2 linked regions of the Tamandua tetradactyla genome follow. The protein of the gene in region 1 purifies or fractionates together with the protein of each later gene. This does not show direct contact. Links are inferred from orthologs where the notes say so. Each region holds a gene or a part of one and is shown on either strand. Other genes may lie near its edges.

Evidence for each region.
Region 2: the proteins of LRRK2 (region 1) and SLC25A6 purify together in Homo sapiens (co-immunoprecipitation; 3 studies listed by IntAct, with this or other methods). This does not show direct contact. The link is inferred for Tamandua tetradactyla from reciprocal best matches to the Homo sapiens genes LRRK2 and SLC25A6.

The regions. Positions count from the first base shown.
Region 1 is NC_135333.1:99,678,781-99,686,818, forward strand, and holds the start of LRRK2 (leucine-rich repeat serine/threonine-protein kinase 2), read left to right. Parts: upstream 1-4,966; 5' UTR 4,967-5,675; coding exon 5,676-5,829; intron 5,830-6,131; coding exon 6,132-6,217; intron 6,218-8,038. UniProt on the Homo sapiens protein: Serine/threonine-protein kinase which phosphorylates a broad range of proteins involved in multiple processes such as neuronal plasticity, innate immunity, autophagy, and vesicle trafficking.
Region 2 is NC_135353.1:173,457,901-173,465,464, forward strand, and holds SLC25A6 (ADP/ATP translocase 3), read left to right. Parts: upstream 1-4,508; 5' UTR 4,509-4,592; coding exon 4,593-4,703; intron 4,704-5,293; coding exon 5,294-5,780; intron 5,781-6,206; coding exon 6,207-6,347; intron 6,348-6,875; coding exon 6,876-7,033; 3' UTR 7,034-7,485; downstream 7,486-7,564. UniProt on the Homo sapiens protein: ADP:ATP antiporter that mediates import of ADP into the mitochondrial matrix for ATP synthesis, and export of ATP out to fuel the cell.

The DNA of each region.
Region 1 (8,038 bases):
GTTGTTAAGTTTTGGGATTTTATTCGATCAATTAAGAATTTTTGAAAGCTAAGAGGACATTTTTTCCTACTATGGTAGGAGTTTATAGAAGGAAGCTCTCAACAGAAAATTAATGGCCCCATATTTTTCAGTTTGCTAAAGCTGCCAGAATGCAATATACCAGAAATGGGTTGGTTTTTACAATGAGGATTTATTAATTTACAAATTTACAGTTCTAAGTCTGTGAAATGTCCAAATTAAGGCAGCAATAGGATGACACCTTCTCTAAAGAAAGGCTGTTGGCATCTGGGATTCCTCTGTCTTATGAGAAAGAACATGCTGGTATCTGCTGGTTCTTTGTTCCCAGCTTATGTTGCTTCCAGCTTCTGGTCCCAGTGGCTTTTTCTTACAGGTCCTGTGGGTTCTTCTTGCTTCTCTGGGTGCTTCTCTCTCTCCAAATGTCTCTTATCCTCTCATAAAGGACTCTAGTAAAGGATTAAGACCCACCTTAAGTTGAGTGGGTCAAACCAAAAGTACCTTTCTTCACCTTTGGACACATTTTACTCTCACATCTACTTTTTCAGACTGAGCTGTCACTACTACTTAGGAATTGAAATCTTCATATAATCACTTTACACTGAAATTTGGTCATCTAAGTTTGTATGATATGAGGTGGGGATTTTAACTGGGGGTGGGGGGAGAAAAATTGTCATCCCTCTAAAATAACTATCATGGAAAAAAAGTAGGAACAACATGTAAAGGCAGCAGTCATGGTGGCCTTTAGGAAAAATGGAGCAGAGAAGCTCTGTGAGCAAAGCTCATTTATTTCAAATAAATGGATTTTTAAAAGTGGATTGACATCTGACATTAATATTTATTCTAACAAGTTACCTAACAACTGAAGTTATTGATTCCTATGTAGATTGTTATAATTATTGGATGCAAAGATAATAAATATTTCTGGCTTGGACTTTTGAAACAGTTTGCATATTGTAAGCACAGTTTCAATGAAACATACTTTGAAGCAAAAAAAAAAATTGGGTGGGTCATGCCTCAATTGAAATAACATATCAAAAGATTTCATTTACAATAGTTCTGCTGCCACAGGAATGGATTAAAAGAACATGGCCTTTTCAGGGTACATGACAGTTTCAAACCAGCATACTCTGCCTCTGGACCCTAAAAGGACATGTTCTTTCCATATGCAAAATACATTCATCCCATTACAATATCACAAAAACCTTAAATTATTTCAGTAACAATATTAAGTATAAAGTCTCATCAAAATCAGTTACAGGTGTGGCATATCCTAAGGCAAAATTCTCCTCTGGCTGTGGAACTTAGAACAAGTTATCTGCTTCCAATATACAGAGGAGAAACAGTCATAGGATAGATGTTCCCATTTCCATGGAGAGAGATTGGAAGGAAAATAGGCATCAAAGTTCTGAAACAGTTCTGAAAAACTGAAGGGCATACTTCATTAGATTTTAAGATCTGAGAGTCAGCTATAGAATGACATTTTGTCTTGAGGCTTGAGAGAGCAACAGTCCTACCCTTTCCATGGTCTTGCACAGTGCACAGCAGCCCTGCTTTCTCCAAACACTAGGCTGAGGGATCCAATATCTCCAAACATTGGGGAGACAGATATATTTTCCATTCCACCCTCTTCAAGCATCTGAGTGGCAGCTAGACTCTCTGTCATCTCTAGGCACAGGCTCACCCTTCTCTGAACAGTGGGGTTGTGGCCAGGGTCTCCCCAGTCCCTGGAGAATGTGCTCCACCTTCTCAGAGGGCTGAGGAGGCAACATTCTTCCTGAACAATAGGGCAGCCAAGCTCCCCTCAACTTCCCAGGCATCTGAGAGCCATGAGGTAATACTCTTCTTGTACAATGGGTGGGAGGCCCATTCTCTGCAAACTCTGGGACTCACCCATTCCACATGCATGGGTGGGTCCACTATCCTGGTCCAAGATTTCTTTGTACCAGATATCAGTTCCCATGGTTCTGCCTTTGAAGTAATTTTTCCTTCAATCTCTTCCTTTTCTATCTCCCTTTAGCCCACACTGGCAGTGGTTCTGTTCACACAGATCTTGCAAAAAATTTGTTGGCTTCACATGCAACACACAGGAGTCCTAACTGTCAGACAATAAGACTTTCCATAAATCATTTCTGAATAGCTGCATTTTCAATACAGGCTTGTCCTGAAACGGCTGGCTGTTTGCCTATTCGGTTAATCCTCATAAAACATACATAATCAGTAATTCACAATATCATCACTTAGTTGCATATTCATCATTTCTTAGAACAGTTGCATCGATTTAGAAAAAGAAATAAAAAGATAACAGAAAAAGAAATAAAATGATAACAGAGAAAAAAAAGTTATACATACCATACCCCTTACCCCTCGCTTTCATTGATCACTAGCATTTAAACTAAATTTATTTTAGCATTTGTTCCCCCTATTATTTATTTTTATTCCATATGTTCTACTCCTTTGTTGACAAGGTAGATAAAAGGAGCATCAGACACAAGGTTTTCACAATAACACAGTCACATTGTGACAGCTGTATCATTATTCAATCATCCTCAAGAAACATGGCTACTGGAACACAGCTCTACATTTTCAGGCAGTTCCCTCCAGCCTCTCCATAATATCTTGAATAACAAGATGACATCTACTTGATGCATAAGAGTAACCTCCAGGATAACCTCTCGACTCTGTTTGGAATCTCTCAGCCATTGACACTTTGTCTCATTTCCCTCTTCCCCCTTTTGGTTGAGAAGGTTTTCTCAATCCCTTGATGCTAAGTCTCAGCTCATTCTAGGGTTTTTCTCAATCCCTTGATGCTGAGTCTCCGTTCATTCCAAGATCTCTGTCCCAAGTTGCCAGGAAGGTCCACACCCCTGGGAGTTATGTCCCACGTAGAGAGGGGTAGGGTGGTGAGACTGCTCATTGCGTTGGCTGGAGAGAGGGGCCACATCTGAGCAAAAAAAGAGGCTCTCTTGGGGGTGACTCTTAGGCCTAAATTTTAAGTAGACTTGACCTATCCTTTGTGGGGTTAAGTTTCATATGAACAAACCCCAAGACTGGGGGCTCTGCCTATAGTTTTGGTTGTCCACACTGCTTGTGAGAATATCAAGAATTCAACTTGGGGAAGTTGAATTTCTCCCCATTCTCACCACTCCCCGAAGGGGGCTTTGCAGATACTTTTCCACTCACTGATTGAATCATTCTGGGATTCATCGGGGCATCACTCTGGACAAACCAGCAAAATCTCATGTCCTACCTGAGATTCCAAGTACTTATGGCATTCAATCAAACTATCTACATAAGTTATATTAGGAGATGCACTAGTCAAAATATAAATTTTGTAACAAACATTTTTTGCTTTAGTCTCACACAGAAGGTGACATTTTAAAATATTAATTACCATTTATTTTCAATACCCTGCAATAATGACATTCCTTTGTTCTTCCTCATGCAAAAACATTTTTAAAATTGTACCTTGTACATTTCACTATTAGCATACACTCTAGGCATTGCTAGAAAATCACCTACTCTTATTCTGGTTAATATAGAGTAGAAAATAAATAGATAACGGATGGATGAATATCAATTGAGGAAAAGAGGAAGTTCCTTTTCTATTTAAATTTACCTTCTCTTAGAAAGGAGCTGTACTTTCATTTCTTGTATGATAATAATCCAGTAGACTGAGAAGGGAAAACTGATGCAGAAGAAGGTGTAAGGAAGGTATGAAGGGAGAATTGATAGGAAAGTTTGATATCCATTATGTAGTCAGAAGTCAAAGAAGTTCAGAAGCCAGTTAATAAGAGATATATTGCAGATACGATAAAGATTACAAAGCAGAGATTTTTTTTTAAGTTTTCATTATGGAAATTGTCTTTATTATAAAAGGTAGAGAGAATAGTATGAGAACTCCCAAGAACCCATCTGCAACAATTTTTAATTCAAAGTTAATATTGTTTCATTTATACCTCCATGCACTTTATCTCTTCTCCCACTATTATATTACTTCGAAGTAAATATTAACCATTATATCATTTCAGTTGTAAATATTTTATCATGAATCTGTAAAAGATAGAAATCTCTTTATAACAATAATAAAACATTTATGAAACATACTCATACTATCATAATCATTAATACTGCCAATTTGCTACTTTACTCACATAATGATTACGGAATGCTATCTCATTTTGATTAAAGTAACAGATTGTGAAGAACCCTGAATTTGGTGTTAAGAGATTGACATGAGTTTAAATCCCAAATCTCAACTTGCAAATTGTGTGAATGGGGCAAATCTCCTCACCGAACATCTCCGAATATCAATTTTCTCATTAATAAAGAATGATAAGTAATAGCTGTCTTATCCATTTCACAGTTGTCATCAGCATAAACAAGTTAGGGGACATGAAAGGAATCTAAAATTGTGAAGTACTAACTTCCAGTCCAGTCTTTTCCTTTATGAATGACGCTGAGGATAGAACACCTGTGTCCAGCCGTCTACAGAGCTTTTTAAGTAGATTTCCTTTTGTGAACAACATATGACTTTGGTACATTTTTTTTTTAACTTTAGAGTTGTTAATGCCCATATTCTTAAGTCTGAACAGCAGAGCTGCAAAATTTAGTTTTTGTTCTTTCATCTTTTCTACAGGTCATTTCATTTACCTTGTCTTTCTCTTTACTCATAAAAGCACTGGTTGATTACTTGTTGGTGTGCCCCAATTATCAGGATCCGACCTAGGCAAACTCAAAAGTTAATTAATTTCAGAGCCGTTTTGGCCACCAGAACTTCAGATAACTAACAAGGAAGACACATTTTATTTCCTCCCCTACAAACAGGTAGAATTTAAGAGTCACATAAAACAATTTAGCCGGGCAAATTTTGATTGCTAAAACGTCGCTCCATCTGGGGGGGTGGGGGTGGGAATGACTCATCTCCCTCTAGGGGGAACCCTAAAGAGAATGCTTCCCTTAAAGGGCCAACTGGGCGGCGTCCTTTTTCTCCTACGCCCTGATTTCTATTCTTAGATTTGGAGTTAGGCGGCTTTCACTTTTGCTTTTCCTGGTTTCCAAACCTTCTTGGGGCTAAAGGAGTCCAGGTTGGCGGGTCCGGGAGGGTGGCGGGCTCCAGCAGCAGCCTGCGCGCCTCCTCCGCACCCGGCCGCGGGTACTCGGCGAAGTTCGCTGAGTCAGTTTGTTCCTGCGCGACTGCGGTAGTGGCGCCGCGGCTGAGGAATCCGGACAGACGAAACGGCGCCCGTCGCGGGTACCGTAGCGGAGCACGCGCGGGTCACGGTTCCCGTCGGCCCGGCCCGGCCCGGCTCACGCGGGTCGAGCCCAGCCTGGACCACCAGGCAGCGATTTTGCGCGGCGCGTCGCGTCGCCTCAGCCGAGCCTCCGGCAGGCCACAGCTCGTTTTTTTTTTTTTTTGGAGCGGGGGTTTGGAGGAAGCAGGGGAGGAGGGCTCGGGGAGAGGAAGGGGAGTGCAAGGCGGAGAGACGTCGCTTTCCTCATCAACAAGCGGGCGTGGGCAGATGGGGCCGGCGGGTAGTGCCGGCTGCGGGCGGTGAGTTGTGCTCGCCCCGGGGAGCAGTGGCCTGCGCCCGGAACCGCTCCCTGAGCAGCCCGGCATTCGTGCACGGAGGGGCGGCGGGTGTGGAGCGGGGTCCACCATGGCCAGTGGCAGCTGTCAGGGGTCCGAGGAGGAGGACGAGGAAACTCTGAAGAAGTTGATAGTTAGGCTGAAAAATGTCCAGGAAGGAAAACAGATAGAGACGCTCGTCCAAATCCTGGAGGATATGCTGGTGTTCACCTTCGCCGACCACGGTAATCATTTGCAAGGGACCTGTTCCTCACCCCCCCACCCCCACCCCCACCCCCGTCACACACGCACACATACACACACGCACACATTTGCAAACTTTATTCCCTGCTCTTTGGATCTCTACTCAGGCCACGACTTTTAAGAAGTGGCCAATTCCCTGTTCCTTTCCCTGAGACAGAGAAGGGAATTGGAAATTTCAGGAAAGTCTTGGGGCCTCTTTTGCTGTCCCCCACCCCCTTCAGATTTTAAAAGGGCTTCGTGAATCATAATTTTGCTTCTTTCCCCCCACCCGCTTCTTTTCCAGCCTCCAAATTATTTCAAGGCAAAAATGTCCATGTGCCTCTCTTGATTGTCTTGGACTCATACATGAGAGTCGCGAGTGTGCAGCAGGTAAAAGAGTTTTCTTTGTGTCCAGTTCCCCTTCTGCTTGGAAAGAGATGATTTTCTGTCATTACATACTCGGAGTTCTTGTTATTTCTGAGATTTGCCTTGGTCAACCGCTGACCGTGATTTGAAGATGGCAGCATTGCCCAATTATTATCAAATGCTAACTGTGGGTCTACTTTAAGAAGTAACTTTATAATACCAACCGACAGAATATGTACGGGAATTGACAGGAGTAATAATGGGTTGAGATCTAGTTTTGTTATCGCCTAGATGAGCTCATTAGTGTTCACATCAGATTAGTCTAAGAATCTTCCCAGAGCACAGTCTTGTCCTAGATATGACATCCCTGTTAATAGTTTGGAAAAGGGGTATAATTGACAGCAATAAAATGCAACTGAGGAACTCTCTTAGGTGTCAAGAGATTTTTTTTTTATTTGAAGACTGTTAGATTTGTGGTTTTGTTAGTAGTTTACCTTATCATATCTAAAGACAGTGCTTTGATTCCCTTATGTGTTTAAATTTATACTTTGTACTGTAGCAGTTTTCATGTAAAATGAGTTAACCTGAAACTTTTAGAATTCTTGTAATAGGAAACCTAGAGATTTGCTAAATAACTTGGATATATTAAATAGGGAGCTCTAAGATGACAATTAAGGATAATTTGCAGTCAAAACAGAATTACCGCATAACGTGATAACTTTTTTGAGTGCATTTTGAGATTTGGGAACTGAAATCAGTTTTGTTGTTCACATGTTAAATCCTGAAGAGAAAGAAAACAGAACTTTGGACTCCAAGGGGCAGTTAGAAAACCACTGTTTCTTAATGCTTATTTGAGAGGCTAGACATATGTAAGAATTATCTCTATTGCTAAATCTGTATCTTTACCTCTATGCCTATTTTTGTATCCATCTCTATAAAATCAGGGTGACCCAATATATCTAACTTCCTTTATATAAGAACATTTATATCTAGGATGAATCGTTACTTTTATTTTCCTTAAACTGTAAATTTTTTTCCATCTGACTATTAATTTTCAGGCTGCTATGAAACAAAACCAAGCAAAGATAGAGGCATGATAAAGCTGCTTGTTCTTTTTCAGTACTTGAAGTCTGAATTTTGCCCATGGAATATTTGTGTTGCTGCTTTTCACCCACATTTTCTCTTCTAACTTGCCTCTGCTTTGGTGTTCACAAGTGACTTCTAGCACTCTCCGTTTTCTGGATTTGTGCTTGTTTTAGTTCTCCCCGCCCCTCACCCTGCTCAGTCAACTTGGGAAAGTTGGACCCTGGGTGAGATTTGGTCTTCAGGGTCCTGAGGAGGCCATGCTAGAACTCAAGGGAACTCAAAACATACCAGTCACCTGGTTCTTATTCACGTCAGAAAACTTAAACCTGGTCCTCACTTCTCTGGAGTAGTTATGAATGTTACCCACTGTTCTTGTCTAGTGGGAACCAGAGGCAAAGTATGTTGGGAAATAAGGCATTGCCTTCTGAGTTGATAATGCAATGGCATAGAATTATTAATTACAGCACCATATATGCATATGTCTGCAAACATTATGTATGTTACATCATTTGATTCTCACTGGAGTCTCACTGTCACCTCAGAAATCTCACTGGATAATTTCCCCTCATGGTAATTCTGTGAGAGTAAGTAACTTATTTAGGACCACAGAGCTAGTGACAGAACCAGGGCATAAATGTGAGTCTTCTCACATCTTCAGAAATCTCTTTCCATTATACAGTCCACTGCTGTTGAATTTGCAGAGTTTTCATGCCCACGGTTTAATACTTCATTTAAAAGAAAATAGTTTTTTGTCTTTCA
Region 2 (7,564 bases), on another chromosome or scaffold:
TCTTATCATTTTTGTCAATCGATCCACAGAAATCATGTTCTGTTGTGTTTCCATTTAAAGGCACCTTCTTTAACAAATACAGCTGATCTGGCACTGGGCTCACCGTTAATGGTTAGGCACTTCGTTGGTGCCCGAGAGAAGCTTATCTAACCGCATGCTTTCTCCGTGCGGCACGTCTCAGCCTCCTCGTGCTAGCGAAGGCCGGACGGTGCTTTCGCACATCACTCGGGCACCTGAAACCAGGAAACCCCCCGCCAAACACACAAACGTGGAAGGCATGGCACTAAACATGCCACGGGTATCGATGTGGGGGTTACAGGTAAATTTTCATGAGTCGAAGAAAATTATTCACCTGTAACGAGGACCGGCTGGGACTCGGATACTTCGAGTCGTGTTTTCTAATCTCACACACCTGCCTTGCACGGGGCCTCACAACGACCGCCAGTGGCACTGCCCCGTCTCTGCATGGGTTCTGCCCACAGAGCCTCATGGTGAGGTGAAGCTGTGTCTCCCCACATTCCACCGTGTCTGAACATAAGGACAGCAACTCACCCAGGAGAGCAGGCGAGATGGGTCTTCTGGAAAGCGCAGCTCCTTTCTGAGATGCCGTTTTCTCCCACGCCGGACCTTTGCCAGCTTCTCACGATCCAGCCAGCCACCTTTGGGTCCAAAGGTTCTGGCACGTTCCTGCCGTGCACGCGCCAGTCCTCTTTGGTTGCAGCCCTTCGCCAGGAGGTTTTGTTGCTCCCTGCAGACTTTCACCAGCAATCTCCGCGTGAGACCGAATCCCTGGAGCAGGGGAGTCTGCAAAGGGGTCCCGGGACGCGTGGCTTGCGGCATTCAGATTATTTCTGCTGCAAATCTCCTTAATGTAGACATCAGAGGGCTGTGGGAAGGAAGCCTGGGTTATGTTTCAGCCGTGTGGCTTTTCTTACCAGAGCAAGTGTGTACAAACTCTTTTGTCCACTCGTAAATATGTAGCAACCTGTGCACGGATGGTTGCTTGGAAGGATACATCAGAACTGGAGACCTTAGTCTGGGTAGTAGCTCTGTCAGCTCCTATCTGGTGGGCACTAATGGTTCAGTCGTTTTCCTGCTAAAAACCACCATGGGACATAGTTTATAGAAATGTATAGTTCTGGGGCGCACGGGTGGCTCAGGGGTGGAATGCTCACCTTCCATGCAGGAGACCCAGGTTCGGCTCCCCTACCATGCACCCCCAAAAAAGAAAAAAGTTATATATATACCTATATGAATTAATATGTGCCTATGAAATGTATTTTATATAAATATGACAGTTGATTGCCTATGTCTGTAATTTTGGTGGAATCCAAATAAAAAGCAAATCATGAAGGTGGAGGGAAGAGGAAGGAAATTCAACTTGGACTAGGAAGGGGGTGTGTGTGGCGGGTACAGGTGGGTCTGGGGGTGCGTTGGGGATTGGGTTGGGGGCCGGGGACCTCACGGAAAAGCCCCCAGAGAGTGTCCCTAAAGGCCATGCCCCACACCCCCATCTGGTCCTTGGGAAGCCGTGTGTCCCCGACTGTAGACCCCAGAAGGCTTCCTGGAGGCGGCGGCACCTCTGCTGAGCGGAGGGCACAGGCTCCCTGGAGGTCTGGAGAGAACCTCAGGTCCCGGGGTTGGTCCTGTCCGGAGAAGGTGGTTGGGGGCTGGTGCATGTGGGGCGTCCCCCAGGCTGGCCCTCAAAGAAAGGGAAGTTGGAAAGTAACCAGTGACACCATCTTGGATACTGGATAAAGGGCTCATGGGGGGGGGGCATTATATGACACACTCTCCCTCTTGAATTTTTTATGGTAAAACTGTAAAAAACCAAGAGAAAGCATGACAGACACAACGTATCTTTCTGTTTTTATTAGGAACGACATGCAAAAAACAATAGCGAGGGGACCCTGAGAAGAAATGTGTCCATGTACCTGTGCCCATGTGTCCTGAAGGGGTTTTAATTACTTAGAGCCCAAAAGGGACCTCGAGGTTGGAATCCTGCACCTGGCAGGCTGACCTGACCCCCCACCCTTGAGGTGGAAATCATCCCTTCTGTGTTCTTTCTGCATATTCCAGCTGCATACCAGGGTCATTCTATTTCAGCATGCCAGTGAATGAAAACTGCCCTCTGGGTTTCTCTTTTTGTGGCAAGGGGTGCAGACAAGCCCTAAGATACCACGTGTGCAAGGAGAGCTGCAGCCCTCCCCGGGGCCCTTGGAAGGTCGGTCCCCGTCAGGGGCCTGCACTGGGCATGAGGTGATACACCAAAGACGGGGCTCCCCCACGCTCAGCACATTTGGAGCAATCAGCGAACACCCAAAATGTTTCAGATATTTAAGCATTCCTCATATTAAATGAGTTATTTAATACAACCCAGTAGACAAAGACGGAGGAGTGAGCATTCCTAGGCAGTCAATTCTCCTTGTCCCCACTCTCAGGTCAGGGAGCTTCATTCTTCAAGGTGACCCACCAGCCCACAGGTATTTGTCTCCCCACACCCTTCTTTCCCAAGTTCCGGGTTTCTCGAGTTTTCCCACTGCCCTTCGAGAAGGGCAAATGGGGCCTGTGTACGTCTAACTCCACGGGTTAGCGCTTTCTATGGATAAGCGTGTCCTGAATCCCAGCCAGCCACGAGAGCCGCCACCTTCGATCCCCAGGAGGGGCCGGGTTCGTCTCCTCCGCCCCCACCTGCTTGAGGGGAACTTTCCACTCTCGCTCACTCCAGAGGCCACGGGGCTTGCTCTGGAGGTAATGCCAGAGGCCCCGCTCCTGGGACCCACCGGCTCACCAGGGAATGAGTAATTTCTTGGGCCCTTCCCAGCCCAGACAGGCTGATTTTGTGGAAGAATGGGCTGGAAGCTTCCTTTCGGCAATTCTCCCAGGCCAGACCCTTTGACCCTCCAAACTGTCCGAGCTGGTCTCCTCCAGCCCCAGGGCCTCTGGAACTTGGCCAGCCTCAAGCCCTTTTCCTTATCTGCCTTATAGGGAAGGGTCGAAGCCGGCTGGAATGGACAAGGACATTGCAAGCTGGTGGAATGCATGGGATGGAAGTCCCAGAAAGAGGGTCCCTTCCATGCGTCCATCCACTCAGTGGGTCAACCTGCCGGGCATACTGGCCATAAAAAAAAAAAAAAGATAAAAAAGAAGGGGGAAGGGAACAAAGGAGGGAGGGAAGGAAAGAGAGAGGAAGGATGCAAAGGAGGAGGAAAGAGAAAGAAAGGTGCAGGGAGGCAGGAAGGTGGGGCTTTGCTGCTGGGTGGCTGACGGGGCTGTTTGACCTCGGGGCTGGTCCCACGGAAGGGTTCAGCCTGTGGAAAGTCAGCTCATGGGACACACGTGGGTCTTGGGCAGTTTTCCATAAACCCAACAAAAAGGTCAGAGCATTCCCAGGCATGCCTGGGTGTGCCTGTGCAGGGGCAGGCCGGGTAGCGCCTGGCCTGCTCTTCCCCGAGCCCCCAAATCTCAGCACTGCCTTGCAGGGGACGAGGAAAAAGTGTCCACGCTGGAGGCCCTGGGACCTGCCCGTGAGGACCATGGGGGGGCTCCACAGCCTGCCTTGGGCCTCCAGGTACTTGGTGCAGGAAAACCCAAAGGTGCAGGCTCAGAAGGAGCCCCCACTCTAACGGGGGAACAGGGCAGAGGGTAGCCCACCCTCCCAGGGGTGCAGGCTCAAAGGGAGCCCCCATTCTCCCAGGGTCGCAGAGTCAGAGGGAGCCCCCACCATTCCAAGGTCGCAGAGTCAGAGAGAGCCCCCACCCTCCCAGGGGCGCAGAGACAGGGGGAGCCCCCACCCTCCCAGGGGTGCAGAGTCAGCGGGGGCCCGCACCCTCCCAGGGGCGCAGAGTCAGGGGACCCGCACTCTCTCAGGGTTGCAGAGTCAGGGGACCCCCACCCACCCGGGGGGTGCAGAGTCAGGGGACCCCCACCCTCCCGGGGGCGCAGGCGCAGAGGGAGCCCCACCCTCCCGGGGGCGCAGAGTCGGGTAGCTCCCACCCTCCCGGGGGCGCACAGTCAGGGGAACCCCCACCCTCCCGGGGGCGCAGGCGCAGAGGGAGCCCCACCCTCCAGGGGTTCCGCAGAGAGACAGGGCGGGGCGCGGGAGCGATAGGGAGAGGCCCCGAGCCCCGGCACCCTCCCCTGGGTGTGGGCGGACGGGCCCCGTCGTCGGCGGTCCCGAGGCCCTCAGGGGCCCCTTCTCTGCGTCCCGCGCGGCCTCCCCCGTGACCTTGAGAAGGTCACGGCCTCCCCGCGGCCCCCCGGCTCGCACGGCGCATGGGCAGGCGCGTCTCCCGGCATACCTCGGGGCGGCGCGTCCGGCCGGAAGGGGCGGGACGCGGCGCGCGGCGCAGCCAATGAGCGCGACGGAGCGGGGCGGTGACGCGGCTCCCGGCATCCCGCGGCGCGCGGGCCGGGGCGGGGAGTGGGCGTGGAATGGGCGTGGCACGACGCGGCGCGGCCAATGGGCGCTGGGGGCGGGCCCGCGGGGCGGGGCGAGGGCGCCTTAGCGGCTGCGCGCTGGGCGCCGCGTCCTTTCGGTGCCGGCGGCGCGACCCTCCCGGCTGCCCGCGCTCGCACCCGGCCCCGCAGCCATGACGGAACAGGCCATCTCCTTCGCCAAGGACTTCCTGGCGGGCGGCATCGCCGCCGCCATCTCCAAGACGGCCGTGGCCCCTATCGAGCGGGTCAAGCTGCTGCTGCAGGTGGGGCGGCCCGGGGCCGGGGGCGCCGCGCGCCGGGGAGGGCCGGGCGCAGGCGGGCGCCGGAAGTGGAGGCCGCGGCGCTTTGTCCGCGCGCGGGACACTTCCGTGGGCGGGGCGAGCCCGGGGCACGTGGGGGCCGCCGCCTGCCGGGGCCCGTGGGCCGGCCACGTGGGGGGCGCGCGGCGGGACCGGCCCCGGGCCCCCTGGATGGGGGGGGGATGGGCTTGACCTTGGTTGACCTTGCCATTGCGCGCGTCTCCAAGCCCGCTGGGCTCCCCCCTAAAATGCTGCGTGTCCCAGGCCCTTGGGGTCTTTTCCCTCCTGTTGCTTTAAGGGGTTGCGTGCAGCTGCGCCCCCCGGAATCCTGCCCCAGGGATGGTGCAAGTGTCCAGAAGCAGGCGAAACTGCTTCCAGGAGCCCGTCGTGGCCTCCGGCTCCAACGACGGGCTTCTCGAGATCGCGGCAAGGAGGACCGTTGCAGGACGCTGCCCCCGGGGGGTATGCATGCCCTGTAACGGGGCTCCCAGGACGCGCAGGCGGCGTCTGTGGTCCGGGAACGCCCTCGCGATCCTTGGCCCGCTCCCTTGCAGGTCCAGCACGCCAGCAAGCAGATCGCGGCGGACAAGCAGTACAAGGGCATCGTGGACTGCATCGTCCGCATCCCCAAGGAGCAGGGCATTCTCTCCTTCTGGAGGGGGAACCTGGCCAACGTCATCCGCTACTTCCCCACCCAAGCCCTCAACTTCGCCTTCAAGGATAAGTATAAGCAGGTGTTCCTGGGCGGCGTCGACAAGCACACCCAGTTCTGGAGGTATTTTGCCGGCAACCTGGCCTCCGGCGGGGCCGCCGGAGCCACCTCCCTTTGCTTCGTCTACCCGCTGGATTTCGCGAGAACCCGTTTGGCGGCCGATGTTGGGAAATCGGGGGCAGAAAGAGAATTCAAAGGCCTGGGAGACTGTCTGGTGAAAATCACCAAGTCCGACGGCGTCCGAGGCCTGTACCAGGGTTTCAACGTGTCCGTACAAGGCATCATCATCTACAGGGCCGCCTATTTCGGCGTGTACGATACAGCCAAAGGTAAGCTGCTGAGAAGGTCGGGAGCCTGGACCTTCCACGTGGAAGCGTTTGACATTTCCTCTAAGGAACGGGGTGTGTGGGGTAGCCATTCCCAAGACCACAGTTCCCTGTTCTAGAGAGGCGTCCCTAGGCTCTAAACCTGAGCATCTGGGACGGGAGCTGTTACTGCGACTGCCATGCTGTGATGTGCACTAGGCTGTTTGCTCCCGTCCTGCTTGGGTGACGGACCCTGCAGGAAAGCCGTCCTGAGTCCTCCAAGTTTTGTAAAAATTAGGTGGTTCTGGGAACTGATCCCTCTGGACCCACGGGCTTCAGTTCTTTGCAAAACAGTTTGCAAAGTTTTGGGCTTTGCAAAACTCTAGTGCTGCCTTTCCCAAGCACGTGACTGTGTGTGATGACGCCTCACGTTGGCTGGTCCCTCCGTAGGTATGCTCCCTGACCCCAAGAATACCCACATTGTGGTGAGCTGGATGATTGCCCAGACGGTGACAGCTGTCGCCGGCGTGGTCTCCTACCCCTTCGACACCGTGAGGCGGCGGATGATGATGCAGTCTGGACGCAAAGGAGGTACCTTGTCTTTCAACTCCGCTTCCATGCTGAGCAAACGCACGTTTCTTAAAGCATGTGTGGAAAGTAAAAAGAGGTGCGCTGCTCAATTTGCCTTCTTGCCTCCATCCTGATGAGGCCCAGAATGATCAAAGAACACACTTCCCAAAAAAAGTTTTGGGGAATATTTTATCAAAGTAGCCTAGACCTGAAGTAGGCGTTCTTGTTACGAACAGGCTTCTCTTCTTGGCAGGTGTTCCTTTCTTGAGGTGACGGTCTCTGAACCCCTCTTTCCCCTTCCTTTCACTGACTCCCGCTCCTGTCTGTCATCCCTGGACCTGGGGTTCTGAGTGGGAATGGCGAAAACGGGGCTAAGGCCTCTGCACTGGAACTCTCCAGAAGGACCCTGTTTTCCTCTGTGACCAAAACTTGAGTTTTCAAGTTGTCCAGACATCGCCATGTGGGGTTTTACTGCTTTAAAGTCCCTTTGGTTTGCATGGTGCTTGTTTCCCGAGGAACTTAACAGTTACACCCTAACTCTCCTTGCAGCTGACATCATGTACAGAGGCACTGTCGACTGCTGGAGGAAGATATTCAAGGATGAAGGTGGCAAAGCGTTCTTCAAGGGTGCTTGGTCGAACGTTCTCAGAGGCATGGGTGGAGCCTTCGTGCTGGTTCTGTACGACGAACTGAAAAAGGTCATCTAAGTGTGTCTGTCTTAACTAGAATCGGGAACCAAGAATCATGTAGAATCCTTCCTTAACCATTATGGACCATTGACCTTTGAGAAATTCCTATCGTTTTTACCCAGGCAGATCAACTCTGTAGAGAGCTAGGGAAAGCTCTAGAAAAGGGGATCATTGTGATTACATTGGACCACTGGCTCTGCTGATTCCATCTTTTGATTACTAGGGGGCAGGGAAGGGGAATCCTGACCATCGTGGGTCCCTGGGTGAGGCAGCTCAGCTTACACAGACCTAGAAACCCTCGAGTCCAAACGCTTGTAGGACCTTCCGTGGTGTTTAAGTATTTATTTAAAAAGAAATCATGTCTCCTATTTGTACTTAAGCACTATCTCCTTTTGCACAGCTGGACATTTGCAATTATGTTTTACGTTGGGCATTGTGCTGCAAAATAATAAATGAGCAGGACACTCGTAGAGGTGTGGTGTGGACTCGCTTTCTTTCCAAAACCAGGTTATTCTGCGGTGTCACCGCATCAGCACCTTCACAGCACCC